Linked DNA regions of Struthio camelus. The protein of the gene in region 1 binds, or shares a complex with, the protein of each later gene. Links are inferred from orthologs where the notes say so. Each region holds a gene or a part of one and is shown in the gene's direction. Other genes may lie near its edges.

Region 1 (14,544 bases):
GCTCCCCCAAAGCCAAGGGGCCGCAGACGCCAGAGCTGCCTGGGCACAATCCGTGTCTTGGGCCTAGGTCCCCTGTCCCTTTGCAGACGCTAGGAGCAGCGGATGTTGCAGAGCAGCAGAGGAAAGCTAATGCCCTTTCTTCCAGGCACCCAGCGCCCACGGAAGTCCAGCCCGTCGCCACAGAGCAGGGGTTTGTCTCCAGCCGTTCCCGGCAGCTCGCTCTGCAGCAGGCTATTTTCAGCTGCCCGCACCAGCTGGAAAGTCGATGCCGTGGTTCGGTGCCATGCGCCGCTGCGGCGAGGGTTGGCTCGCTGCATGGATTGCAGCAGTCTGCTGCACGAACGCCAGCCTTCTCCCGGGACGTGGCCGGCGACCACACGGGCGGCCCGCTCGCTGCGCGCTCCCCAGCGGCCTGCTGCAGCGCTCACATGGCGGGTGCTGCCAGCACCCACGGGTGACGGTGTCCCTGGGTGCGCGGCCCCCGGGGCACGAGGCAGAGCGCACAGCCCCGGCAGAGGCTTGGCCAAGCAGGGCTCCTCCTGCCTCCAGCTGCTTGCTCGAAGCCAGCCAGTTCCCAGCTGAGCCACCCTTGTGCCCTTTGCTCTTGATTCAGTAAGAAAATGCAAACCGACTGCAGCCAGCTCCGTGCAAGCCAGGAGGCAGCCGAGCCTCGCAGATCAGGGGTGCCAGGCAGAGGAGCCGTAACGCAATCTGAGCAGCCCAGTTGCAGGCTGGAGCCAGCGCGTGGCCGGGCTGCGGCCGCGGCTCGGCCGGGCTCCGGGCCGACCCGGCGCGGCCAGGCAGAGCTGCTGGGGCCCACCGCCGGCGTGCCTGTGCCTTGCAGGCAGAGCTGGTGTGGTCGGGGCGAGTCGGTGCCCCCGTGCCACAGGAGACCCTCTTCTCCCAGGCAGGCAGTGGGAAGCCTCGCGGTGGCTCTGGGGCAGAGTGCCGAGAGTCTCTCAGGGAGTCGGCGCATCGGAGCGTGCCGGCCTTGTGCCAATGCCTCCCGTAGTTTCAGCTGTCTGTCAGTGTAAGCCCAAGTTTCAGTCCCGGCAGTAACTAACTCCTCTGTTCCCTGCTGCTGTATTCTGTGCTCCGCTCTTGTTGCTCTTTGGCTTTTCTCTGACTTCTTTCGTTCTGCTTAAGTACGTTGTGTTGCCATTTATCTTCGGGGTCTTTTGCTCCTGCAGTTTTCCCACGGCAGGCCTGCCAGTAGGTCCTCGCTAGTCTCTCTGCAAGGTCAGGTCGTGCGCCGGGGCAGCGTCCTCGGGGTGCTGAGGCGAGGCCGTGTGCCGAAGCAGTGACCCGGCTAGCTTCCTTGCGTGCTTGGGCCCGAGAGCGTTGAGCATTTGTGTCCTCTGTAGGAAGTCAGGGGTTTTCGCAGGCACCGCGTTGCAGCTCCCGGAGGGCACAGGGCTGTCGCCAGCTCCCCTGAGCGTTTGCCATCGGGGCCGTCCGCAGGTCCCGCGGTCGGGCAGCAGGATGCTGTCCATGACGTACAGCGAGAGCCTGCGCAGCGTGGTGAGCAGGCACCACTCGGACTGGGGCCTGCAGCAGGCCCGCCACGCCGACGTGGGGGAGCTGCGGCGGCTGCGGGACGTGCGCCTGGCGGCGCAGGCCAAGACCATGGAAGAGTTCCTGCGAGCGCACGGGCTGTCGCTGGACGACTGCACAGCCCGCCTGACGGGCATGAAGTATAGGTAAGAGACCGCCTTCCCCCGGCTCCCGCCGCGCGCCCGCGGAAAGCAGCAGCTCAGACGCTTTTCAAGCTGGGGGGGCATCAAAAAGCTAGTGCCAGAATCGTTATAAAAGGGCAAACGCGCCCTGCCCGTGATATTTAACATGTTGAACAAAGCGTGAAGGCACGTAAATCCCTAGAGCACCTGTGTTTTGGTAGCTCAGAAGTGCTGGCGTCCCCTCGTGCGGAGGCGTCTCGAGGCTCCTGGGATGCCGGAGACCGTTAGGTGTTTATACCTAAGCTGGAGAAAGGACAGACTGGATGGAGGATTTTGCTTTTTTGCTATGACATGTTGGGGTCAGAATGAACTAAAACTGTTGGCATCAAAATCTCACAAAGCGAACAGCAAAGGAGTCGATGCAACTTGCAGGGCATCGGCGGGATCCTTCAGCTTACTGTGCCTTTCTGTTTAGCTCTCCTTTTTGCATATGACTTACTGGTGCTGCACAGGTGAAGTGTCCAAGAGCATTTTTTTCTTCTTGAGTACGATAAAATCTTTTCGAGGCCACTGAAGGGAGAATATTCTTTCTCTTTTTGTGCACATGTAAGTGGCTAGAATAAATCAACATGCTTATATCACTTTTATTGATTAAATTCTTTAAACTTTTTGTTTGTTGTAGTGTTATTAGGAAGTTTGCAAGTGCAAATATAATACACTCTCACCTTTCTAACGATAAAATAGTTAAACAGCTACAAAAATACTTTATCCATCTAGTCATCAGAGAGAGCGCAATCAACTCTTGACTGAAGTTCTTTGTATGCAGAGTATATGGGGGAAAATATTGCACCACTTTAGGCCTGGTCTGAAAGGCTTTTTACTGTTTTTTGTGCGTCTCCTGGAGCGTCAGGTGTGACTGGCCATCTGCGGCTCACCGCCCTGGGAGGCTGAGTAAGGTTGGCTTTTAGAAGCGTAAGGATAAGCGGAGAGCCCTGCTGTGGGGCAGATATGCTGATGGTTACATCTTCCAGGCTGGCTTATGTCAGTGCACTCACCTGCCCACCCGAGCAGCTTTTCTACACTCTTAAACCGGGAATGTTTCAGGCTGCTGCGGCAGTTGTCAAGCTGGGCCCCCTCCGTGCTGAGGCCCCGGCGCAGGGCCGCCCGCCCTCGGCGCCTGCCCGCCTCTCCCTGACCGCGGCTGCCCGTAGGAGCTTCTGCTCTCGTGCGCGTTGCTCAGCTCAGGTTTCAAACACCTCTCAGCGTCACCTTGAAAGGCCTGATTTTAAAAGACTTTGCTGGGGGATTTTGCCATGTGCATTGAATGCTCTGCGCCCTCTCCCTGCTTTGCAGTTGGCTGGAAGAGTAAACGCCGACACACGGGAGGGAAAGCAAGCTGAGAAAATACCATGTTGAGCCGGAAAACCGTCTCCAAGCATGAAGCCAGCTGGTGCTCCATTAATTTTGCATGCTGGTCCAGAACGTGGTGTAGTGAGAGGCATGTAAATATTTCAGCTGACTTTTGTTCTTTTAATTACTACATCTTTGTTAGAGTGGGTGATATTGGGAGCAGCCTTGGCTTGCGAGCCCTGTGGCTAGGTGCTGTCAGGGTGGTGTGGCTGAAGGGGTGCACGGTGTACACCCCACCGCGGGGCTCTCCCTGCGTGCACCCCGCTGCGTGCACCCTGTTGCGGGGCTCTGCCTGCTTCCTGGCTTTCCTCAGTCGCCCACGCAGCAGGTCGGGCTCCCATGTGTTTTCTTCTCTAAAAATAAACGGAGGTAACATTTCCGCAGTCACAATAGCCCATTTGATATTCATGGGGCAGTTATTTATTCATGGGGCGAGGCTTGTACGTGCACTATCGAAGATATTCCTTCAGTGAAACATTCAGCGCGGCAGCGACCGGGGCTGCCGGGCACGGGAGGAGAGAGGCGCCGCGACCTGCCCTCCCGGCTGACGGAGCCGCGAGCGCTCGCCGCGCGGCACCTCTCGGCTTTGTGCCGGCGGCGCACAGAGGCACAGCCTTCCTCCGAAAGCTGCCTCGCTCGCGCGGGGGAGGACGTCACCGAGCGGCTTGACGCTGTGAAAATCCCCCCGCGTTGTGCCGCGGCTTAGCCCGCGCCGAGGGAAGCACTAAGCCTCCTCGGGGCAGTGGGTTTTCGCTGGGTGAGCTGAGACTGGGGAGGGGGGGGCTCTGCAAATTCGGCACCGCGCCAGCTTGCTCCGACCCGCGTCACAGCCTCTCCGCGTCGGCCTGCGCTCCCGTCTCGCTCGGTAATGACACACTGATGGAAAAAGGCAGAATTTGGCTTGTTTCTCTAACAAAGCATCACTGTATGCAAAACCTGATGTGGTGGTAATAGGTAATTCTTGAAGCTGACCAGAAAGATCAGGTAGGTGGTTGGCCTGCAGAGCAGCCCAGCGTGTCCCAGGCTCGCCCGGAGCCTCGAACGCGGGACATGCTGCCCGGGCCCGCGGCGGCTCGGGGGCCGTGGGCCGGCTCGCAGGCACGCTCTCTGCCGGGCGCTGCCGCCCCCTCTGCTGCCTGCTGCGGCGGTGCCGCGAGCGTTTCGTGCCAAGGGGGTGAAGGGCACAGTGCTGAACGTGCCGCTCTCCCCACATCCCCCCGTGGGGATTTACGGCGCTGTCGTGCTGTTCCCTTGAGCCGTGTTGCTATGGGCTCGCAGTGCTGTAATCCAGAAAAGGATTTGGACCGCTGAGTCTATTACTGCAAAATTGCGGCTTTTCTTTTGGTTGGGGGCTTCAGCTGAAACCTTCTGCAAGGAACTTTAATCTGGGATCAGGGATGTTTTCCCTGCTTTTCTCTGCAAACACGGAAAGGTTGCAGGCAGATGAGTGCTCGCTGCTGGCGTCTGGCTGGGGCAGGGGATCTTTCCTGCTCCTTGAATGCGCGCGGGTGCATCAGGAGCGGCGGCTGCAAAAATGCCTGACCCCGTTTTCGCCCTCCGGTGCCCTGCCAGGCTGCCCCTGTCGTGCTGCTCCCTGAAGAGCTGCCGGGGATGGATGGGCTGGAGGCGAGGAGGGAGAGAAAGAGCCAAACAGGAATACCTTTTCAGGGAGAAATTCTGCCTTTTGAGAGCGCCAGTATGTGCTGTGTCCCGTGCCATGAGAAGAGCTGGCCCTCAGCTGGGGACCCCGAGCCGAGCCGAGCCGAGCCTGGAAACGTGGCCCTCCGCGGCCACAGCACACTGCTGGGTTTCCTTGCTGCCTTCAGGAGTGGGCAAAGCGCTTGCGGAAGAGCTGGAGCCTGCAGCGGGGCCGCAGGAACTGAGCGGGATTACCGAGCTCCGCCGCAGGCACTAAGGAGCTTTGGGGCAGAAGGAAACATGAGTAGATTACAAGTTTTTTCATTTCGTCTGTGACCGAATTTATGTAATTTCCCCCCCCCCACATCCCCCCAGCAACACCAACTAATTTTTCTTTTGTAATGCTGCTTTAGGAATCAATGTATACCATTACACCGGCAATTCAGCCTGATGCTGTTGTGGTATTTCCTTTTCTGTGTGGTTGATCAAACAATTATTTCCTGACCGCTGAAGCTGCTTTCTTTACTGAGAGGCAGCGCTGCACATGTGCTCCTTGCAAGGACGGCAGCGAGGGCGGGCAGCTGCTCCGGCAGAAATTCTGGGCCGGGGGGCAGAACAGGGACTTGGAAAATCTTTAGAGCGTGTAACCAAGCGTTCAGATGTTATGCCTCAAATCACAAAGTAGTCAATTAGAAAAATGAGTTTGTGTCATTTTTTAAATAGGAGAAGTTGGAATTTGGTTTCTCCTTAGCCAATGTAGCTCTCTCACTCAAGTCACATCACAAAGTGGTGCCGTCTAGTTTGGTTTCACAAAACAGGCCGCTGCCCCAGGCTGCAGCGGGAGTACTGGGGCATGTCCCAGGGTTACGCTTCTGCGCTGCGGGGCGGCTGCACGCAGCCCTGCGCTGCCCACCGCCGCGCGAGCAGACCTCGCGCCTCGTCCCGGCTGCAAGTCCACCGCCGTCAGCACCTCTCGTTGGAGGGCAGATTTGGAAAGACAAGTTAGAGGCAAATAAATACGGGGATTTTCCAGCTGCCTTGCACAAAGGAGGCGCTTGCTGTGGAAGCGAAGGGAAATGTGAGGGTTCCCAACGTGGAGCCCTTCCCTCCCCTCTTGGAAGTGGTCATATTGCTGCTACTCCTCTTGGCGTGACACTGTTTATTTGCGTCCTAACGCTCATCAAATATTGATGGCGTGAAGCTGATGATATAAGCTGGGTCCTCTTCTTCTAGCGCCGCAGCAGTCATGTTGGGTAAGTGAAGCTTTACAGACATTCGGGGAGGAGGTCCCTGCTTCAGAGCGGCTGCCGGCTAAATTTAGGCTGTTGTCATTATTCCTCGCTGTATCTTCAGCCGCGCGAGTGGAAGGAGCGAAGAGGAGAGAGGGAAGAGGGAGCGCCGGGGGCCGGCCCCGCCACCCGCGGCCGTCGGGGCTCGGCAGGCTGGCCGGCGCGGCCACTCGCCCGCGGCGCCGGGCCCCCTGCGGCGCAGCTAGCGGCGGGCGACGCGAGGCCGCCGAGGGCAGCGCCGCCGGCCCGCGGGGCGCTGCGCGGCCGGCCTGCCCGGGACTCCTGCCGCCGCGGGGGGGAACTTGCCGCTTCAGCAGAAACACAGTCCGGTGAATCGTTTCTTTGGGCTCAGGGGCGGCAAAATTCCTCCAATAGCATCTGCGAAACTTTGTGGAGCTGCTGCAGAGACCAGTCAGGCTGCGCTGTCAAGGATGGGGGAAAGGAAGCAAAGGACAGCATGCAAATTCCAGCCGGGAAGTAAATAAACTGAAGTTTGCTTTTTAACCCTCGGACGGGCGACTGCCGGTGCGGCCCTGCACATCCAAAGAGAAGGCTGAAACCAGAGGAGCAACATCTCCTGCTCGTTTCTTGGCTTTTGCTTTGAAATTTTCAAGTTTCCTGGGGGAACACACTGCCAATTATTTTTCACCTTTGACATTTTGCGGCGCTTGCAGGGAGAAGCAGCGTTGGGCTGTGAAGTAGAGCGCGGCTGAGTGTTAAAGAGGGAGGGCGTCTTGGCAGCCCAGATACAGCGCGAGCACCATGCAGGTTTCTTTTGTGTGCTCTGAGCACAGTATAAAGAGCCGGAGTGCAGAAGACCGCCTGAACAGACAAAATGCCAGCAGTCCCAGCCTCGGCACGCGCAGCAAATTTCGAGCTGTGGCCATGGTTGCCCGGAGCCTGGGGCAGCTCTCGGTGCAAAATGCCCCGTCGTCCAGTGACTCCAGCGTGAAGCAGCCGGGGATGAAATATAGGTAGGAGAAGAACGTGCTCTTCATTCGGAGATTTACTTCTTCCTCGGATGCATTTTGCCTTCCTCGCTGCGGTGTGTACGCTGCGGGGGGAGGCGTGTGGTGCTTCCCCGCTGGCTTGCTGGCGTGCGGGTTTCTGGTGCCACAGGTGCCGATCCGTCCTCCGTGGTCACCCTTCTGCGCTGCTGCATGCCTTCCAGGTGGCTCTTTTTCTCCTTTCCCTGCAGTTCCGAGTAGCGTTCTTGTTTCCGTCCAGCGTAACATAAAACCCGTAGAATGTGAGAAAAAACGTGACCCTGACATTTGGCTTAGGATTTAGTAAAACCCCTGTGGCTTTGCTAGCCTGTTGTGAGCGGGCAGGCTGTGGCCTCCGGGGGAGGTCTGCAACGCGCAGTGGTTCACGGCCTGGAGCAGCATCGATGGTTTCATCGCGCTCCCGGGCTGCGTGGAGCCCCGGTCCACGTGCAGTATAACACGAGCCAGTATTCGCTTGCTGTCTCTGCACTGTGCATTTGAAAACGCCGTGTGCACACGGTGGCACGGCCAGCACACGCTGGGTTAATGTGCCCGCTTCCATGGCATTGCAGCAGAGCGATGCCAAGGCGGGGGACTGAGGGTTTTTCCCCAAATAGATTAGCACGTATGCCATGTTACAGCTAATAGCCGCTGCCTGTTCCCACTTAAGGCAAGATGTAAACAGTATCGGGATGCAAAATGTATCAGGCAGGCAGATTGCTGGAATGAGATCAGCTATCACCCACTGTCATCTTTCAAATTAAATAACTCAGGCCTTTTCTTCCTGGCAGTCCTCTGCCGGCGTCTCATCGGGCTCGGATTTGCCTTGTCCCTCTCGAGGGAGGGTCCCGCTGCCTTGCTCGCGCCGCGCGGGAGGGCTTCGGGGCGCGCGGGCCTCGGGGGCCTGCAGCGAGGGCTCGCAGCGCACCGGCGCGGCCCCCCGCAAGGCAGGCCGCTTTGCTAAAGGGGGAACAGGCGGTGCTCAGACAGAGTGCTTCCGAGGCAGCGCCCGTGCCCGCAGCCCCGTTCTCATCCGGAAGGGCAGAGCGTTTTTCTCCTGCCCCTTGCCAAGCAGCCCCGCGCCTGGGCTGGCTCCGTCGCCGTCGGCTGTGTCGCCCGCAGCCCTTGCCGGCCAGCGCGCAGCGAGGCGCCCAAGGCGTCGCCGAGCGAAGCGCGGTGGGTCGCCCTGCGCCGAGGCGTCCCCGGGCCGCCCCGACCCCTGCGCCCGGCCCGCCTGCCCTGCTCCGGAGGGGCCTGGGCGGCGCTGGCGGTTCTGCTCGATGGCCGCGTTCCACCAGAGCAGACTTTGCATGGACACTCTCCCGCTCAGCTCCTTCTCCCTGCGCTAATCCCTCTCAATACTCATCGGAGAGCAAGACCTCCACTGGCCTGCGGTACACTGGCCTTGCTGGAAGGGTCGGCCTTCACCTCGGCAAGCGTCGAGAGGCCTGAAGCTGGGGAGGGCCGCGAGGGGCGCGCGCCCCGCGGGAGCCGGGCGGCAGTGCCCCGCGCGGAGGACCGCGAGCAGAGCCGCCTTGCAGTTGCTATGCGACGCCACGCTGTGCCGAGCCGCGCGCGCGGGCGGCTGCAGCAGCTCACCTACACTTTATGTATTTTCATGCTTGTTGTTCGAACCTTTGTGATTTTTCAAACTCGCTATCAATCACTGTGGCAAAGGCGGAAAGGACATCTGCCAGGCTGGACTCGTTCCCAAAAGAATATTCTCTAGCTCTGTGCGCCAGCTTCATTTTAATTATTTTACAGGGCGCTTCATTTTTCTTGGCCAACTGCTCCGCTCTCAAGGGATTTTTCTGCTCGCGAGCTGCTCTGCGGTGCAGGTGCACCATTAGCAGCACCTGGAGAGCACTGGGCAGGTCCCCAGGGCTGTGTCCGAGCCCGACGCAGAGCGTGGGGCTCGGCGGTGCGTGTCCGTGCCGGGCTGGGAGCGGGCTGCCCCAGAGCAGAGCTCCGTTGAGAACGGGCACAACTCGCTTCGCACGTGAGTCGCCCCAGTTGCTGCGCTGTCAGGCGCAGGTTGTTGGCTCCTGGTCTCGGCCGGATCGAAGGGTGTCCGAGCCGCTGGGGTCAGTAGCAGGGCAATGTCTGGGGCTGCACAGAGCACCTGACCGCCGTCGGCCGCCCGCGTCGCCCTCTTCCTCCCCTTGCGCTCGGCGGGGTCTGGGGCCGCTGCGTCGGGCAGAGCCGGCTGCTGCTGGGCCGGGTAAGCCCTTGGAGAGGGCTCTGCTCGCGGCCCTCCGCGTGGGGCACCGAACGCGCGTGCGCCGCCCTCTTCTGCACGCAGCCTGTCCTGCCGGCGGAGGCGTTCCTGGGCATTACTGTTTTCCCCCGTGATTATTCCCGTCTCGCCTGGATACGCGCTGTGCGCTGTCGGTTTTAGTGCTAGCACCAGCGTTGTAAAGCTGCTGTCAGAAAATAGCCGAACAGTGTAGTACTTCTGACCTAATCATATAAAGCAGATTTAATGAGGTCACCGGCTGCTGCCACAGCAAATTACCGTGCGGGGCGCGCGGTGCGCGCGGGGCCGCCCCGGCGGCCCGCAGCCTGTGCCTGTGCCGCGCGCCCTTACCTTAGAGGTACAGGGAAGCAGGCACTGTAAAAACTGTGTTAAGAGGCTGGTCGGTCCCCTCTGCGCTTGCTCGGCAGATAGGCTCTTGTGAGGTTAGCCAGTTTCTGTCGGTGTGCCCGTGTTCAGCCAACAGTAACTGGCTCTCTAAGAAGCAGCATCTACTTTCCCTTTCTTTTGTTTTCCCCCTTCTGCCTTCTGGTTGGTGACAGCGTCAGGCAGCTTTGCCTCGGTGCAGGAGTGAAGCAGCAAGCCTGCGTTCGCGCTTGGTGGCCTCAGTTGCGCTCAGCTATTTCTCCTTTCTTCGCTCTTCTTTTCCTATTTGAAAATAAATGCCTCAATTGTTTAGGCACAATATGGGGTTTAGAGACATAACCTGAATCTTCTTGGTCCTCCCTTCCTATGGTCACTTCTGCTATAGCATCTAAATCCAGAGTACTCGTGGTTTTGTGCCATGTTTCTCTCTCTCCATCCTTACCGCAGCTCTCTGGCATGTTCATTTCTTGCCTTCCCGGTTTGCGGGGGGGGTTCGTTTCTGCTTTGCTTTTTTGCTCCGGTTAGCCGCCCGGCGCCGAGGCAGCGCGGAAACGCGAGCAGCGTCCGCAGGTGCCCTGGGCGCGTGCCCGGGGTGCCCTGCCCCGCGCCAGGACCGCAGCGGCGGGCCCGCGGCAGTGCAGTGGCCAGCACGGGGCCGGGACCGCAGCCAGCCCTGCGCCAGGCGCCTGCCCGCTCGCGTGCATGCTGACACCTAGACGCTGTCTCGAGCACTCCCGGCTGCTATTCAGATGGGCTTCTGTCTTTCAGAAATCTTGGGAAATCTGGGCTGCGAGTGTCCTGCCTTGGCCTGGGTAAGTGACCGGCTTCTCCGCGGCCCTTTAGCATCTGCTCCGTCCGGTGGCTTTCTCAAGCGGCCGAGACAGGCGCCTGCTCCTCGCCTTGCCCCGGCTCCTGCCGTTCGAGGGAGACGCAGCCGCCGTGACGGGAGGGAGAGGCGGCGGGCTGTGCCACCTCAGCGCGTGCAGAGCTTGCTCGTTCTGGGCGTCAGAGAAAGCATGCATCAGCTGTCAGCCTGGTGTTTCCTTGCGCACAGTAACTAATTCTAAGCAAAAATTTCTGCTTCACCCTGAACACTCCTCTCTGCTCAGGACAGCGGTGTGGATAGTGCCCTCAAAGACTGGCCTGGCCTCTGACTTGAAAATCTATCTAGGAACTTGCACTGTGCAGGATTAAACACCTAGACAGGTTTTCATCCATTGTAAGCAAGCCACTTACTTAAAAAAAATGATTTACAATTATGAAACTGTCAGTGGTGACAATCTCTTTCTCTGACTGAAATGTTATCAAGCATTCTGCAGAAGATAAAAAGGATTTTCTTCTGGGCTGGTGATAATTTTGAGAAACGGCCCAGAAGTTGTCAAATTGTTTCCTCTTTTCCCCCCGCTCCTCGACATAATAGAAGGTGAAATTAGGAGTATTTGGCAGAGCTGCTTTCTGGCGTGCTGTATTTGGAGCCGGGGCCGTGCTGCGATAACCCTGCAGCGGGCCGGCGCGGGGAGCGGGTCCCACTGGGCGGCGGGCGCCCAGTGCCGGCCGGTATGGGCCTCCCGCGGGCGCCCCTTCGCGGAGCGAGGCTGCTGGCTGCAGCAGAGCTCGACCTGGGTCTCGTGCTGCCCTTGTCCAGCTCTGTGCCCTTTTTCTCCTTCACAGGGACATGGGTGACTTTCGGAGGTCAGATTACAGACGAGGTAAGTATTGCTCCCTTCGCATCGTGTTACTCCGCAGGTTGACCTTTCCTTTAATTTCTCAACATTTGTTTTAAAAAGCAGCTTTGGAGACTGTCCTCTTTTGCATGGTTTCATAGCAGTTACCATAACGCATTTATCTTTACTGTCTGCTCGGGGCATAGTAAAGCGGTCACCAAGCACTTTGCAGCCAAGAAAGGAGGAAATTGTTCTCCAGATTTCTGTTCCAGCTAGGGGCAGTCAGGACTTGCAGTGCATTGTTTTCCTCGCTTAGTCGTACCAGGGCGTGCGAGCCCTCGGCCCGGCCTTGCTGAGACCGCCCCGGGGTCAGTGCTACTGAGTTCAGCGTTGCCTTTGCTGAACACTGACCTGCCAAAACTGTTTGTCACTTCTGAAGTGATTTAAACATATACCGGGCTGAACGTAGCTGGAGGTAACCGGCACTTCTGTTCCCAGCGAGCGGTAGGGAAAGCGGCCCGGCTCGCTCCGTCACACATGTGTTTGAGAGCATGCATCTCCTGTGAGCCGTCCGGTTTTGCATGAGTCCATTCTCTGTGAGGCAGAAGACGCACAAGGTCTCACCCGCCCTTAGTAACAGGCTTCAGGTTTGCTCTCCATCTGTAATTCCGATTAGCACAGCAGTTCAGGATCCCTCCTGCGCTCCTTTCAGCACAGTCAGTTGTTCAGCAAGACACCTGACACCGTGTTTCTCCTGAGCTATCAAATGTCAGCTTGAGTTCAAATTAATCCCATATAAATCATTTTTCTGAGCCTGGGACTGTGAAAGCAGGAGGAGAAAGAGAAAAAAATCACATTGCTGCGTGAGTTTGGGTTTTTCTCCTTCAAAGCTGCTGTCTTCCTTACGTCACCAAACATACCCTGAAAGTTTTGCTGTACTGTACGCCTGTGTGCCTCGTGCCTGGACACAGAGGCTGGCGTTTCCAAGCCTGGCTTTCTAAAGGTAAGCACATAACTGATCGGCCAAGGCTGCTTGTTTGGCAATTTGGGGCTTTCTAAATCAAGCTCTAAAATCAAGCTGCACGTTTAGAGGCCGGTCTCAGATCCAACTCCATGGACAGCACTCGGCATGCGGCATGTTTCGGGTCACCAGTATGAGCGAGCATGGCACCGCAGTGCTCTGCCCCTGCTCTCTGTTAGACGTCCTCTTCTCTACCAACATCACAGATTTCTCTTTGCAGATGGCAGAGCAGCTGATGACTTTAGCGTATGACAATGGCATTAATCTGTTTGATACAGCAGAAGTCTATGCTGCTGGCAAGTAAGTAGCTTCCACTTTGGTACCAGGGCAAGGACTGTATTTCTGGTGAATGGGAGCATGCTGTCCAAGCCTGGGACGAGTCTTCCTCCTGGGGCTTTCCCCCGTTGCTCACCGAGGGCCCCATCCTGTGTTTTGTCCTGCAGCATTTTTGATTTGCTCATAAGTCACCTAACAAGTGTGCGCTCCTGTGTCACCTTCGCCCCAGGTGATAATGCCCCAGGCCCTGCTTTTGCTGTCGTTCATCTGGGTGCAGGGGCCCGGCTGCAGTGCGTTCGGGCCGGGGCGAGAGGAGCCAGCATGAGCCGTGCCCTGGCAAGGCAGAGCGGGGTGCGAGGCCGACCCTGGCGAGCCAAGCGCAGGCAGAGCCCTCAGGGCACCGCAGCCGCAGCGGACGGCAGCAGCGCTTCCCAGGGCAGCAGGCAGCCGCTCGGGGACCAGCCAGGGTCATACCACGTGGGTCTCCGGAGCCGGAGCCGTCAGGCACTCGCAGAGCTCCCAGGAGCGCACGGAAATGCTAACCTGTGGTTTAGGCTGCAGAGTGCTGAAGCATCCTCTATCCCCTTGCAGCTGCCAGCTGAGATATATTTAGCTTTAAAAGCATTAGCATGGTTATCGACATAATAGCAAAACCTCATTTTTCCTTCCCTAAATCCACTGCTGCAATATCAAGAAAACTGGGCTGGAGAGAACACTATATTCGACTAACTTAGTTTCTCTTGGGTTGGCAAATTGCCCCCAAGCAGGCGTCAGCTTTTATGACTTTGTTCACTACCCAGTGAATGATTTAGGCAAATATGTTTGAATTTACAGAGCCTTTGAAAATCGTTCATCTCAGCCACTGCACAGGGTAGTAACCGTTCACAATCAATTTGCTTTGGGTTAGTACTGTTGGAAGCCTCCCAAACCAGCAGAAATGGTCCAGGGTAGCTATAAAACGTCTGCGAGAAGAATCCCGCTGAGAGCATTTGCTCGCAGAGGGTCTGCAGCCCAGCAGGTCACAAAGGAATTAATAACAAGCACAATACCTTTGAAACGAACCCGCCAGGACTATTTGTGGCGTGGCTGTATATGCGTACTCCACCGAAGCCCTCGTCCAGTTCTCCCAGCATACTTGATTTGCCTCTGTTTGAACTTTTCCAGATAAGGACATTCAAACACGTTTGACTTGGATGGCCATGCTCACTCACCATATTGTTTGAGCAGTATCTAAAGCTCCTCTGTACAAATGCGCTTGCAGACGCTCTAGTTTCTAATATTTGAAAGAGAGTCTTGAAAGGGTAGACATGGAGACAAGCTTGTTTCCCCCTGGAGAGCAGTAATAAGCATGGACTTATCATCTTTGCAATGATTTCCTGCTCTTCATTATTTAAGAGAGGAAAGCTATTGTCATGCAGGTTGGTCTAAAAGTTTGGAGGGTGGAAATAATTAAATCATTCCACTTTTCTGCACTCATTTTTGGAAGTCATTTCACATTTGTTGAAACGCTGCATTCCTTTACATCCTTTCCCGTGAGGTGAGATCCCTCTGTCCCTGCAGCCACACTCCAGCCTGCCCAGGTCCCTCATCCCAGAGCAGTCGACGTGCAGCAGCAGAAGGCGAGAGTGTCTATCTCTGACTTCTTCCACTAAAGTCCCCAGAAGAAAACTTGAAGGGAGGAAAAAAAAAAAAATCTCACCACAGCGTAGTGTCCTATTACTAATCTACGATAGAGCAGGGAGAACGAGTATGGGGGAGGAGAATGGAGGAAGCTCATCAAATCATGGCTTTTAGGGGTAGAGGAGACGAGTCAGGCTGTCTGTGCCGTCTCCCGGGGCTGGGCGGTTGCCCGGCTGGCAGGGCAGACGCGGACACAGATGCCGGTGGCGCCGGCAGTGCCACTAGGCGTGGGTGCTGGGGCTGCCTGGCGCACGCTGTCCCACCTTGGCTCACGCCAGCGACCC
Region 2 (14,544 bases), on another chromosome or scaffold:
ATTGCAATACTCTTCCGGCAAAGCTTTTTATTAAGGGTGAGCTGTGAAAGAGAAGCAGGCAGTGAGTCAGCATCCTCTCCTGCCTCTGCTGCGAGCTGAGCTGTTGCTGGGGTTACTGTTGCAGGTGGCAGCGTGGATGCATCTTGCTACTGTCCCCAAGCTGAGCAAGGACCTGATTTTCCTAATATGTAAAAAAATCATAGGGTAACATTCAAGGAAGCCACCCCGCTCCAAAGAAATTATCCCCGAGTCCCTCCTAGGGTCGTGTTGGTCTTGCTAGAGAAATGGAAAATAAGAGCCCTTGCTTTTGCTTCAGGGGTTGCGCAAGAAAAGTTGGCTGAGCAAATCCTTCGTGAGTTGTCAGCAGATCTTTTTTGGTATTACTAGCCCTGCTGTTGTGCCTGATTCGTGCCTTTGCCAAAAAGGCGTCGTTTTCGGTGCCTTCCTCGTTGCAAACGCCCTCGGTGCTGAGGGAGTTTCTGAGCAGGCTTTCGGAGGTTCTTGGAAATGGGTTCTGCAAGGAGGGGGATTCCAGACGTGAACTGATGTCATTAAAAAGCAGGAAATAGGGTTAGGCCTAAATTGCAGGGCTGAGCTGCAGAGCTCGGGGCTTTGCTGCCCAAATCCCGCTGGCGTGAGCGCCCATTGGTTTGGGTATCCCAGCTAAGAGGCCAGGCCTTTGGCTATTCCCTGGGAAGTGCTAAGCATCAACTTTGCGTGTTTGCCGGGATCCAGGTGTTAGAGCTAAACGCAAGCAAACTTAACTGCCTGCTTTTGCAAACTGCTCGGTGGCTATGAGCCCTGGTCCCCTGCAGAAAATAACGCCCAGCTTTTCAAAATGTTTCTGAGCAGAAGTGCTTTTTATAACAAGCTCGTTGCCAGCAGGATGGTCGTGGGTCGTGGGTCATGGGATAAACTCGACATGAAGGTGTGGAGGAGAGTCGAAAGAGCCTTTGGGCAGATGAGAATTTCCCCTGGACTGGCAGCTGCGAAGGGAAGGATGACAATGTTAGCACTTAATGCAGGGCTTTATGGTTCAAAGAATGGCACAAACATTGACTCATTAACTCAAACCGTGAAGCCAGGAAGATAGGGCTGCAGTAACGTGTTTAGCCTGGTGACGTGTGCAAGTTTTAATTTTCTACTTAGCCATTTCCTTTGAGACGTCAAGCCCGAGGACCGTGTCGCTGGGAGATCCAGGCCACTGGAGCATCTCATTCCTTACCCTGTTGCCCTCTAATCGCGGCCGGGCAGCAATTGCCCTGTTTGTCCTCGTGACTTTATCAAACCCTAATGGAAGTTCGATGGCTTCAGAGCAATCATACCACAGCGAGGTCCTTGGACACCCGGATCATATGGGGTCCTTAGATGCACAGATCTGGCTCAGGCTCCAGGCTCTGCCAGTCCTGCTGGTTCAGAGCGGACTGGGATGCTCTGGGGAACAAGCCTAGTTCTCCGAGAGCTGGGTGCCAGCTCCCGGCTGCACCCCTGGGTTGCTGGGTGGTTGCTTCCTCTCCAACTTCCACCTAGCAGGTGGGAAGCAGTTCTGGGCAAACTTTGTCAACACAGGGAGAAATTTCCTTGCTGGTAAATGAATAAAAACTGCCCTTTCGTTTGCACGTCTGTTGTCCAAATTGCGGCTGGCTCGTCACGAAGCTGAACGCGCTGGCGCTTGCGTTAAGCTGTGCTCCTCACACTAGTTCTTGGCTGGCACCAAAGCTGCTGAAATGTGGCTCTTCTCCAACGATGTCGAAGACGCGCGGCTTATGGTAGTCGTACCCCACTTGAATACGGTGTACTGCCAACGCCTCGTGCCTCGTTGTTGGCTCCAGGTGACACATATCTCTAATACGATGTTCACTGAACTGGCAAAGGAAAAACTATAAAAAGATTTGGAGGGCTGGGGAAGGCGGAGGGACGAGATCCAAGAGACAAAACCCAGGCGGAAAGGCCTTGCCTGCTTTCCAGGCAGAGCGGTGTCTATCACGGAGATGGTGTGCTCTGGAGAGACAGCTCGGTGCCCTCGATAAATCTCCTCCGTGCTCAGCTCACGCTGAGCTAGTTGCTAGCAGCCTAGCGGTTAGGGCAAAGAGGGGTTGAGGCAGGCATCCGTCCCCGCTACCCAGCACCCGTGCCAGGAAAAATCAATCAGCTTCTGGGAGCCCGTTTATTTATGCAAAGCTAAACAATGGGAAAAGCGCGAAGAGCGTATGCTCTGAAAATATATATCTGCCTTGAAGCCTCTACAAGGACGTTTGGTGGCACAGCTGCGACTTGCAGGTTCTCCAGTTATTTCGAGGCAAAGGAAAATCCCAAGGTTGGAGCCGTCTGCGCAGCCAAAGGGAGTCAGGTACCAACTCACTCTGAAAATTCAACCTGAACTACTGCTGTGAAGGGACTGATCCTGCACCAATTCCCAGTGAATATCCTTAATTCCCTCTGAAAATGCAGCCTAAAATACTGTTGTGAAGAGTCTGTGTTTTAGGGCAAACTCTTCCACAGCCCGAGGGGCTCCCAACTACATTAACTTAGACAGAGAGGAATTGCTGGGTTTGGTTATCGGAGGGGCTCAGCGACCGCAGTTTTGGCTGCCGTCAGATGCCATTGCGACTCGCTTGGCTTTCATAGGCTGTAAATGCTCCGTCTTGCCCTGCGCTGGCCTGCTGGATGAGGGCGAATGTCATCAAACCGAAACAAGTGACATCTGTAGAATAAATAATTCAACGGGCGAGCATTCACCCCTCGCCGGCGCGACGCGCTCCCTTCAGTGGCAAGCACGACGAGTGACTGCCGCTGCCCGAAATTTGGGCTTTCGAGCCTTTACGCTGAAAGCGGATCCGTCCTGGGACTCGGCGCTGATGCCGCGGCTGCGCCCTGCTGCTAAGGGTCCCCGAAGAGCAGCCTCGGCGCCGGCCTTTGCCGTCGCTCACTTTCCCGGTAATCGCACCGTAACGCGGTCGTCGTACCCTCGCGTGGATGTTTTTAACCATCGTAATGAAAACACGGTGCCATTGCCATGCTGTCTCAGTGGATTTGTGGTTAAATTGCTTTGTCGATGTAATCTTATCTCTTAATGACAAAATAATGGCGTGCAACAGGAGCTGCGGAGGCTGCGCTGGATATCCTTTTGCCGTCATTGTGAAGGCCTGCGAACATGATCCCCATTACGGCAAAATTTGCATTAACATTGTTTGGCCAACATAATCCCACCCGGTAATCGCATTTTTTAGGGCATTAAAATAGGTCTAACTATATCCTGAGCTGTAACCCCTGGGCTCCCAAAGAGTCGGCTGGGATTTGGCCAGGACAGCTCTATTAAAGCCAACGGAGTCCCCGTTTGGCTGATGTCTTTTAGCCACCAAATCTTGTTCTTCAGTAGCAAAATGATACTCACTGGCTAAGTCCGCAGTGTCGCGGCAAAAAAAATAACATGAAAAATAGCTGCTGTCCATGCTCTGCTATTTCAGGTTAGCGGTTCGATTCCCACTTCCCTCCATCTGTTAAAAATAATGACTGCTCTCTAAAGACCTGCTGCCTTCGTTAGCCGGATTGCAGCAGTAGGAGACGAGCGTGGCGTGCTCCGGGCCCCGTTGTGCTTGGTGCCCTGAAGAGAGGCGTTCGTTATCCTTACGGAGCCTGCAGCAACGGTCCTCACCTGCGCTGACTCGCAAGCAACCAGCTTTATTTGGGCAGCACTGCATTTTGCTCCCTATTATTCAAAATTTCAGCATCTTTCTCGTTTTCTCAACTCAGGAGCGCAGCTAAGAGCCTCTGGTGAAAGATTTAAGTAGACCATAGGCAGGAGGCAAGGATTGCTCCTAATTTGCAGATGAGAAACTGAGGCACGGACGGATTCACGGACTCGCGCTACCACTGAGTTTCGCAGCTGGTGATTAAGGCAGGAACAGGAAGAGGGGCAGTGTGGTTCAGCGGTCAGAGCGCTACATTAATCCCGGGAGATGGAGATCGGGTTCCCTTGCTCTCCTGCTGCCTCGAGGGCACCGGTGGAGTTGGTTAGGGCAGAATTTGTCTTAGCCTCCGAATACGCAGAGCAAAAAAGTGGCCGAGACAGTGCAGGAGCGTTGCCACCTCCTGCCTGCCTGGGGGAGAAGGGGAGGACAGCAGAACGGGGCATCTGCAGACAGAGGTAGCCTTGGGTGACTTATTCCCCGGTTGCAGAGCAAATAATCATAAAAATTTGGGATAATCTGACTGAGAGGAACCAGCCGAAGGTTACAGTGAGGGCAAGCAGGTCGGAAAGCAGGTTGGAAAGCCAAACCTAGGCTTTGCCTAGGCTGTGATTAGTGAAAACCCGATTGAGGGAAGGACACGAGGAACCTCGGGAGCGAGTTCACGCGGTCTTGCTGCAGCAGCTGGCGCTTGGCACGTTCCCTGCGGTGGGAGGGGAGAGGACGCGTTTGCAGCGCGTCAAGATGCTGTTGCTGCAGCCTTACTGCTGAGAGGTTGCCGATCCTCGGAAATAAAGACCAGCCCGTTTGTCCCAGGTTTATCAATGGAGACGGGCTCCTCATTCAAGGGCGAGAGAGCAGAGAGCCCTCCAGCAGCCCTGTGCAGGGAGCTCCCGCTCACACCACCCGCCAGGCTGGGGCTGCCGGCAGGGGAAGGGGGGGTGTTTCTTCACCCCGGGGTGCTGCAGGTCCGCGCGGGAGCTCGGCAAGCGCTCCGCCTGGCGCAGCCTAATTGGCTTTGATGGGATTACGGTGAGGCGGCCGCAGAGTAAATAAGGCCAAGGAGGCCAAGCGGCGCCTGGGGTGGCCGGGCCAAAGCCCCCGGAGAAATCCCTTGACGGGGAAGGTTGGGGAGTGGGGCAACGCCAGGCGCTCGAGGGTTAATGCGTGTTTGGGTTGCGGGTGATGGAGGAAAGGGTTGTACCCTGCTCCCGGTTTTTGGAGAAGGGCTTTTCCTAGCAGCGCTCTCCGGATGGCTTTGCTGGCACCAATTTCCCCCGGGTTTACCCCGACGGAGATCCAGAATAAACTGTTGCAATTATGGAAGGTTGCCTCAAGCCTTTTGTCATCGATAAATGTTTATGGTATGAAAGCAGCCTTGTTTGTTTGCCTTAGACCAGATGACAGTGATTTATTGGCAGAAATCCTGGCAGAGGAAAGGGATGAGCCAGACAAGTCTTGAAGTGCTACACACATGTACGCGGTGCGCAGCTGATGGCTGTTTCATGCTCACGAAACGCGCAGGAAATAGCTCCTCGCGCTGGGATGCCAGCAGTCGTTTCGAGGAATTTTCCTGGCTTTCCTAACCTACAAGCAACGCCGGTAGCTCAAGGGTTAATGATCAGCCCAGGCTGTGCTTCCTGCCCTGTCCGGGGGCTGGGAAACTTGGGAGATGCTCCGGGTTGAAAGGGAGGAGTGCTTGCTCTCGCTGGGAGCACATCCCGGATTTGCGCTATTAATTGCGGTAGCAGAGACGGGGTGAGCGGATGGGGATCTGTTGGCCCAGCTGTCTCCTCCAAGGCCAGCTTGCAGCCTCGGATGAAACGGGCCTCCATGGATGGGGTTTAAAGCCAAGGATGGAGGTGACAACAAGGGACATGCATCAAACTCCATGGCAAGGTGCACGTCCCCGTGCAAGCAGGATCGCAGGGGACCGTCTTCGCAGGGGAGCCTGCAATTTTCCTGGTGGTGTAAAAAATTGCCATGCTGGGCATGCTGTCCGGAAAGAGCACCAGGGATGATTTTGGGAGATGCAACCGCCACGGGCGGCTTAGCCAAAGGCTCTGCTTGGCCTCGGCGCCGCGTGGGAGGCCCACCTTGTCAGCGGGACCCCCTCGGTGTGCCTAATTCCTGGGAAACCTGACGGGTGGGCGCTGATGCCTTGGGACAAAGGGTTTTTTTCCCCGCGTCGGCTCTGCCAGCGTCGGTCCGGCGTTCCCGCGCCCGGTGCGGAGCCAGCTCTGGCGGCGCTGTTTAGTGTTGATTTTCCCCCGTGCTTGGCTTCTTTTATGGCTTTGTATATTTTGTGCAGCTTGTTGCTAATTTAAAGCATAAATAAGTTTGATCTTTTCATCTGTTTCTCTCCCTACCTTCTGGAGGCTGTTCTAGTTAAAAATAACCGCGGTAATAAGCCGGAGTGGGGCTCCAATCTGCCGGAGCGCTTCTAACCTCCTTCGCAGCGGGACCACCCGGGCGACGCAGGGAAGGCGGCGCGGTCGGACCTCTCACACCTCCCTGAGCCTCGTGGCCGGGCTTCTTCCCGAGCGGGTAATTCCCTGAATTGCCCAAGCCCTGTTTGGCACGTGCCTTGGGATTAGAGGGCTTTGGGAGAGCGAGGGGTGGGTTGGGGAGAGCTCTGGGGGCAAATCTCACGGGGCCGGAGCGTTTGCACGAGCCGTGCTGGGTGCTGGTCGCCGCGGTGGAGGCTTTTCCCTTTAAAAAAAAAAAAAACCCTTTCATCAAAATTGATCGATTTGCATAAGATCAGTTCAAGGAGGTGGTGGGGGGGGGAATGAAAAGCCGTTTGGCTGGCTCGGGGAGGGGGGGGGGAAACGCTGAAAGGCAGATCTGCGTTTCAGACTGCGACTGCCTTCAGCTGCGATCCGACTGCGCTTCGCTCCTCCGCTTGTTTGGCTGCGGGGAGGCACAGGCACACACGCGCACACACACGCACGCTCTGTCTCAACCTCTCTCCTATGCAAAAAAAAAAAAGAAAAGAAAAGAAAAGAAAAGAAAATCCCTCCGACTGTAGCTGAAATGCTGATTCAAAACAACTGTTGGCTGCTCTCTGAGGCGCTGTCTCTGCTTCCCGTTAGCCGCAGCCGCGTCCCCGAAACGGTGACCCGCAGCGGACAGGCAGAGCCGAAGCGCCGGCGTTAAAAAATAAAAAAATAAATCACATTTTGGCTTTCCCCCCGGGGTGGGGGGGGGGGAAAGCAGGAAAACTCCTTCTAGGCAGCGCCGCTGCCAGGAAAAAACTCTTCCCCCCGCGCGACCGGCGGCCGCGGAGGGGAGACGCGGGGGCCGGGGGGCCGGGGGGGCCGGGGGGCCGCGGCCGGCCGGGGCGCGCTGCTGGGGGTGGCTCCGGCGAGCGAGGCGGCGCCAGGGCTGGGGGCGGATTTTTTGAGAGGAGCCTCCGCTGCTCAGAGCGGCAGCGGGCGCCGGAGGAGTCGGGCGGTTGCTTCTCCCTCTCCGCCCGCAGGAGGACGAGGAGGAGGAGGAGGAGGAGGAAGAAGAAGAGGCGCCGCCGCCGCCTCCTTCCTTCCTTCCTTCCCCTCCGTCCTGCCCGACCCCTTCTCCCCCACCTTTATGGACGAGCGCCTGAGCTTGCTCCGCTCTCCGGCTGCCTCCTCGGCCGGCCGGCCCCCGCGGGGCAGCGCCGCCAGCAGCCACCGCAACCTGGGCTACAGCGAGCAGCCGCCCGCCGCCCGGCAAGAGGAGGACGAGGGCGAGGAGGCGGAGGAAGGCAGCATGACGGTGGTGGTGGCGGGGGGCGGCGGCGACCCCTTGCCGGAGGAGCCGCAGCATCCTCACCCTCTGCTCGGCGGCGACCGCTACGACCAGCCGCCGCCGCCGCCGGGCGCCGCCGCCGCCGCCGGGCACCCCGCCGCGGGCGGCGAGCACGAGTGCTGCGAGCGGGTGGTGATCAACATCTCGGGCTTGCGTTTCGAGACCCAGCTCAAGACGCTGGCGCAGTTCCCCGAGACGCTGCTGGGCGACCCGCGCAAGCGCATGCGCTACTTCGACCCGCTCCGCAACGAGTACTTCTTCGACCGCAACCGGCCCAGCTTCGACGCCATCCTCTACTACTACCAGTCGGGCGGGCGCATCCGGCGGCCCGTCAACGTCCCCATCGACATCTTCTCCGAGGAGATCCGCTTCTACCAGCTGGGGGAGGAGGCCATGGAGAAGTTTCGGGAGGACGAGGGCTTCATTCGGGAGGAGCAGAGGCCGCTGCCCGACAAGGAGTTCCAGCGCCAAGTGTGGCTCCTCTTCGAGTACCCGGAGAGCTCTGGGCCGGCCCGAGGCATCGCCATAGTCTCTGTCCTGGTCATCCTCATCTCTATCGTCATCTTCTGTCTGGAGACCCTGCCTGAGTTCAGGGATGATCACGACTATGAGGGAACCGGGGGGACCTTTGGGACGGGTGGTGGCCCTTTCCCACCTGATGTCTTCACCAATTCCTCGTCCTCGGCTGCTTCCATGGTGTCGTCCTTCACCGACCCTTTCTTTGTGGTGGAGACTTTGTGCATCATCTGGTTCTCTTTTGAGCTGCTCGTCCGCTTCTTCGCCTGCCCCAGCAAGGCCACCTTCTCCAAGAACATCATGAACATCATTGACATTGTGGCCATCATTCCCTACTTCATCACGCTGGGCACCGAGCTGGCCGAGAGGCAAGGGAACGGCCAGCAAGCCATGTCCTTAGCCATCCTTAGAGTCATCCGCCTAGTCAGGGTCTTCCGCATCTTCAAGCTCTCCCGGCACTCCAAGGGGCTGCAGATCCTGGGGCAGACCCTCAAGGCCAGCATGCGGGAGCTGGGTTTACTCATCTTCTTCCTCTTCATTGGCGTCATCCTCTTCTCCAGCGCCGTCTACTTCGCAGAGGCCGATGACCCCAGTTCGGGTTTCAGTAGCATCCCCGACGCCTTCTGGTGGGCAGTGGTGACCATGACCACAGTGGGCTATGGGGACATGCACCCCATCACGATCGGGGGCAAGATTGTGGGGTCTCTCTGTGCCATCGCGGGGGTGCTAACCATTGCTCTCCCTGTGCCTGTCATCGTCTCCAATTTCAACTATTTCTACCACCGGGAGACCGAAGGTGAGGAGCAAGCCCAGTACATGCACGTCGGCAGCTGCCAGCACCTCTCGTCCACCGAGGAAATGAGGAAGGCTCGCAGCAATTCCACCCTCAGCAAGTCGGAGTACATGGTGATAGAAGAAGGGGGCATCAACCACAGTGCATTCAAACAGGCTACCTTTAAGACAGGCAACTGCACAACCACAAACAATCCCAACTGTGTGAACATCAAAAAGATCTTTACGGACGTTTAAAAACAAAACAGAACAAACAAACAAACAAACAAACAAAACCCTGAGGCTGCGTTGCAAAACAACAACAATAATAATGCAAAATGACTGTGTACTCAGTGTTGTGTGGAACATGCACCATCGTCGGTCCGTGTGTGCCCTTGGTTTTATACGTTTCCTTTTTTTTTAGATTGTTCCTTTCTATCGATCATAAAAAGGAGGATTTAAAATGCTCCGAAGAAAAGAGGACGGGTAAAGGGTAAAGGCGAGGAAGACGAAGGCAAAACACACTCACCCTGGAAACAGGTGTTTGTTCTGCAACGTGTGGCAGGGCTGCTTTTGTTTTCTCCTTTCTGGGGACGTCTTGCTTGGCTTCTGTTTTGTTTTGTTTTGTTTTGTTTTTGTCCTCCCCCTTCCCTAAAGGCAGTGTGTAGCTGTTTTCCCTTCCATCACATAAGCTCACTTGTTGGATTAGCAACCGCGAGTTGGGTGGGGAGACGAGAAAAACATGTTGCGGAGCTCGTTGGAAGGAGATGGGGGTTGGGAGGAAAACGACCGCTTAATTTTGCAAAGAGTCTCTGTTACCACATTGTTAAATGATGCTTAATATCGAAACATGTGGTGTGCCATTAGGGGCGCATCCCAGATTCCCTTTTCTCCCCTTCTAGATCTTTTTTGAAATTCTAATCTGGCCGGAGAGCGAGTGTAATCACTTCTGATTTAAACAGCACGAAGAAACAAAAAAAAAATTCCTCATTTTCTATTCCTAACTCCCTTCCCCTGCAACCCTACGGGATTATTGCATCCGACAGAAAATTGCTGTCCGCCCGGCGAGCGTGAGCACGGGGCAGGGGGAGACGAAAGCGCAAGATTTAACGCTCGCGGCGAGAGCCCGGGGCGCGGGGAGCGGTGCCGGCGCGGAGCCGGGGCTGGCGGCGGCGGCGGCGCGCTCGGCACCCGAACCCGCGGGAGATTTCCGCCCGGCTGCGATGCAGTCGCGGGAGCGGCGGCCGCTTCATCGCCAGGAGATAAAAGCGGCCGACGGCGCCTTGCAGCGGAAGTTGCTAATTCGGACCGGAGTGATGCAGTTGCCATGGCGACCCCGGTTTCCTGGGAAACCCCCGAAGGTTGTCATGGCATCCCGGCTGCCAGCCCCCTCGGCGGGTGCCCTTCCCGCAGCCGCCCTTCCAGACGCTTCCAGCTCCCGCGGGACGGCCGCGACGCCGGCGCGGAGCGGGTGCCGGCCCGAGGCGGGCGCTCCGCACCCGTTGCCCGGCCCGCCGACCGTCCCGCTCGGTCCACGTCCCCCGCCGCATCCGTTTGTAGGCAATAAGCACGCCAAAAGTCCACCTCGCCCCGGCCGCCCCGGCGACGCGATTTGGGAAGCGGCGTCTCTCGATGCAAACGCAAGCGCCCGCCGAGCCCGAGCGGCCGACCCACGTGCGAGCGCGAGCGGCGCCGAGCCGGGGATTGCCGCCCAGCGACGCCAACCTCTCCAAACCGCGGGGGAAACCCACGCAGCCGTAAAGAGCAGCATTGCAAAGTGCCCCAAACCCCGCCGGGGGAAACCATGCCCGCTTCATCCTTCCTTACGCGCCCGGGGCCGCGGGACGTCAGACAGGAGCAGGTGAGCTTCGCCCGCGGCGCTTAACGCCTCCTAAGGTACCATTGCTTTTTTGGGACGGACCTGATGTCTTGCCCAGTTTTGCATCCGACCGGGCTGCCCTCATGTATTTATGCGCCTGTTGGGTGGAGTGCAACAACACCCTATGTCTCCTCTGATTAACCGGCTTTTCCCCCCCTCGCCGTCGCTCGCTCCGGGCGGGCAGAAGGGGCGGCAAAGCCGCGCGGCTCTTGGCAGCCCCGTTTTCTTCCGCTGAAAAGGTTGCTGGCGGCGTTTCCGCCGCGAGCAGGGCCGACCGGTGCTCGCGGCGCGGGCTGGGGAGGCAGGGCCCCGCGCCGCGGGTGCTCGGGCGCCGCGCACCTCTCCGGCTCGGCGCGCCTTTGCCCTTGCTCTGCGGTTTCTCGCTAAGTGCAAACAGATTCCTTCGCTGTAGCGAACCGCGCGGGAACGCCGGGAGATGCCTCTTCCAACAAAAGAGCAACTAGACTCGTAACCGAGGTGAGTCACACGTTTAGCCGAGCGTGCAGAAAGGGAGGATTTGTCCCGGGGAGATCCTGGCCGCGCGGAAATCAGAGCTGAGCCGGGATTTTAGCCAGACTTAAAAGGATCAGAGCAATTCGTAACATGTAACGCTCGCCCTTAGCCTCGTCTTAGCCCCGCTGTCTTGCTCAGTTAATAAAAAAAAAAAACCCTTATAACCGAGCAAAACACCGGGGCAGCTCCTCAGCTAACGGTATCTGACAGCTTTATTGGAGCTGCAGTAGTTTACAGAGGCTGAAGATCTGATCGAATAATCTTTATTAGTTGGATGTGCTGGAGCTTTGCCACGGCGGGAGCTAGCAGGCAGCTCGCATCTCCCGGGCAGCCTTTTCCAGGGTGGCAAAGGTGGGACCCGCAGCCGGGAGACCTTTTCCGAATAACCTCCCGGCGGGTTTTCACCCGCGCCGGCCTGGCTGGGTTGTCCCGCCGTGCCTCTCGCCCCGCTTCTGCCCGTCCTGGCGGAGGCTGCGATGCTTTTGCCCGCCACGAGCTCTCGCTTCTGTATTGTTACCAAAGAGTTGACGCACCAGGCTGGTTTGGGTTTAAAAGCAGTGGAAACACTCTCCCACTCAGGAGGGTTCGCAGATGAGTTTTGCATCTGATTTTTCCCGGCGACAGCTGTACGTATGGCAGGGCTGGTATGGAAACCGCGCGTTAGCGTGTAGGTGGCATAGTACAGTCTGCAGCTCGCTGAGCCGTGCGGACACGTGCCCGGCTGCTCCTTCGCTTTCAGGGCTCCCCCTTGCCTGATTTTGAGTGCCGGACGGGACAGAAATGACTCAAGACTGGTTTTATTCACAAGGAAAAGTAGCGTACGGGAGAGACGGCGAGGAAGGCAGCGCAGCAAAAGGCCGTTTCTCGAGCCGCTCTGTCCTTAGGAGCAGCCCGCGAGCGGGGCGGCTGCGCCCGCGGCTTTGCCTTGGAGCGGGCCAGCGGCGCTCAGCCAAGCTCCTGCCTGACCTTCTCCGATCGCGATCCGAAACGGAGCGGCAGCTGGCGTTGCTTCCCCGCCTGGCGCCGCCGCCGTGCCCTCCGAAACCTCCTCCTCGTCCTCCTCCTCCTCCTCTTCCTCCTCCTCGTCATCCTCATCTTCCTCCTCCTCCTCCTCCTCCTCCTCCTCGTGGTGCCTCTGTCCTCCACCCGCCTCCTCTGCCAAGACCAAGCGACGCCGGCTCCGGCACCGCTGCGACGCCCTTCGGCTTGCCGCCTTGACGCCATCACTTTTTCAGCCCTTTTTTTGGCCTTTCGGTCCAAAACACTCCCGTTTTGCAGCCCAGTGAGCGCCGTTGGGGTGCCGTCCGACCGTGGGTGCAGACGCGAGTGCGGGCCGGGGGGATGCCCGCTGCCTCCAGGAGGGTCACGTTTCCTCCCGGGCAGTCACTGCTGCTCCATCACTTGACAAAGGAAATCTTTCTCTTATCCTCATTTTTTTCCCCAAATCCGGTGCCGCCGAGGCCCTGAGCTGCGGGCTACGGAGCGTCTTTCCAGCGCCGGGGAAGGGACTCTTGCAGCGGGCGAGCGCGCTTAGAGAAATCGGTTCAAGCGTGTAGTTTGGAGCCCTCTTCCTGCCAAGCTTTTAAAATATGCATATCTTTGGGTGAGCGCACGGAGGCTCTGAGCCCAGCCTGCTTGGAGACCAGGCTTTTTTTTCCCCCCCGCCCCGTTTTGCCTTTTTTTTTTTTTTTCCCAAACAAAAAACTAGGTGGCTTGCAGACCCGCGAGTAAAACCAGACAAATAGGATTTCAGCGGGATGACTGCATCGGGCCTTAGGTCTCGTGCTGCGCACGGAGAAGGGGAGCCGCCTAGGCAGCCCTCGCGCAAAGCCAGCGCAGGCGGAAAACAGGACTTTTCCGGGTGTTATCGGCTCTTTGTGCTGCCGCGGGGCCGGCGCTGCTCTTCCGCGCCGTTCCCCGCTCCGGGGCTGCTTGGGAGTCCGGCGCGGGGATGTGGCCGGCTGGCTGATCCCGTCGGGCTCGGTCGTGCGGCTGGAGGATGTGTTACAGGCAGGTAGCCAGGCTGCTGCTGCGTTTCCCAGTTTTCCCTAGTTTTCCCTAGTTTCACGTATATGCTGGAGGCTGCTCGAGCGCGGGGGACCCCGAAGGCAGCCGGATTGTCCCGGCCCGGGAATCGCTGCCCGGGCAGAGCGGGCAGATATCGTAGGAGGTTTCTTAGCTTCGTTTTGGGGCTTTTCCCAGCTGGAAATGGGTGAGCTGATGTGAGACGAGTTGTCAAGTTCTCAGAGCATCGTCCGGGGCCGTCCGGGAAACGATCTAACGGGGAAGAAACCCCAAAGTAACGCTCCCGCAGCGACGGGGCAGCCCGGGGCTGCTCGCGGCTCTCGGGCGGGCTGGAGGAGCCGGCGCGGTCCGCAGCGGCCGTCGGCCCCCCAGGGCTGCCCGTCCGCCCCTCCGGGACCGGGGCAACCACCCGGCTGGACCCGCCGGCCCCAAACCCGCGTGCGGGGCCAAGAGAAACCTGTGCCAGCCGGAGGGAGGATGCTTCATGGCGATTTATAGCTCTCCTGGGGCAAAAAAAGGACTGGCGTTAGGGCAGAGGAAACGGCGCAGATATACAGGCAGAGATATTGTTTAACATCGGCCAAGCGAGCTCACTGCCCAGGCGCAGAAGCGCCTGCCCGCGGCGCCTGGCTCGGCTCCAGCCGGGGCCATCGCGCCACATTTGCTGCTCTGAACCCTGCCGGCCTTGCTGCGGTCGAGCCCGGGACACAATCGAGACCTTTTACACCCGATCTTGGCTTCCCAAGCAGGAAAACGAATAATGAAAGCGATATTCATCCCACCGAACCGGGGGGCGCGTGTCTGCTGGTTTGCACTTTGGAAGGCATCGGCGCTGCAGCGCCTCTGTTATTTGTCACCGGGCTAAAGCAACTCGCATTTTTTGCTCATGAGAACTTTCCTCCCGGCGGAAGAAGGATGCACCCGAAGCCGTTTCATCACCGCCGCTGGAGCGCGAGGCGAAACCGCCGTGCAGAACGCTCCGCGGAAACCCTGCGGGAACTGCACCGCCGCCGCGTTTGCTCCGTCCGGCCTTTGAGGAAACGCGGCTCTGACGCCCGCGGGTCGTGGCAGTCCCTCTGCCTCTTATCGTTTTCACCGCCGAGGAGGCCTTGCAGTAGGACGGCGCGTGACCGTCCCCTCCAGGCAGCATCGGTTTCCTCCTTTTTCCGAATCGGGACACGCTCGAGCAAATTAAAACCTGGCTCGTAGTGCTGCGAGCCGAAGCTTCGGCGTCCCCCTGGTTGGGAGCAGCTAAAATCCTACCTATTACTGCTCTTCCCCTTTTCATAGCTCAAATAATCTCTCCCCAACCGTGTTGCGCGCTACTGTTAAGACCTCTAGGTTAGCCGTGCAGATGACAGC

What was found.
Region 2: the proteins of voltage-gated potassium channel subunit beta-2 (region 1) and KCNA3 are in contact, whole or in part, in a cryo-EM structure (PDB 7EJ2), measured with the Homo sapiens proteins. The link is inferred for Struthio camelus from reciprocal best matches to the Homo sapiens genes KCNAB2 and KCNA3. Residues at the interface, in NP_001186789.1 of Homo sapiens: Met196, Tyr199, Ser200, Arg203, Glu231, His234, Lys235, Ile236; in NP_002223.3 of Homo sapiens: Pro133, Met137, Phe140, Pro142, Leu143, Asn145, Tyr147.

What each region holds. Positions count from the first base shown.
Region 1 is NC_090962.1:971,237-985,780, reverse strand, and holds the start of voltage-gated potassium channel subunit beta-2, read left to right. Parts: upstream 1-6,232; 5' UTR 6,233-6,775; coding exon 6,776-6,987; intron 6,988-10,387; coding exon 10,388-10,431; intron 10,432-11,290; coding exon 11,291-11,328; intron 11,329-12,524; coding exon 12,525-12,604; intron 12,605-14,544.
Region 2 is NC_090965.1:4,562,528-4,577,071, reverse strand, and holds the start of KCNA3 (potassium voltage-gated channel subfamily A member 3), read left to right. Parts: upstream 1-7,118; 5' UTR 7,119-7,277; coding exon 7,278-9,023; 3' UTR 9,024-10,626; intron 10,627-14,544.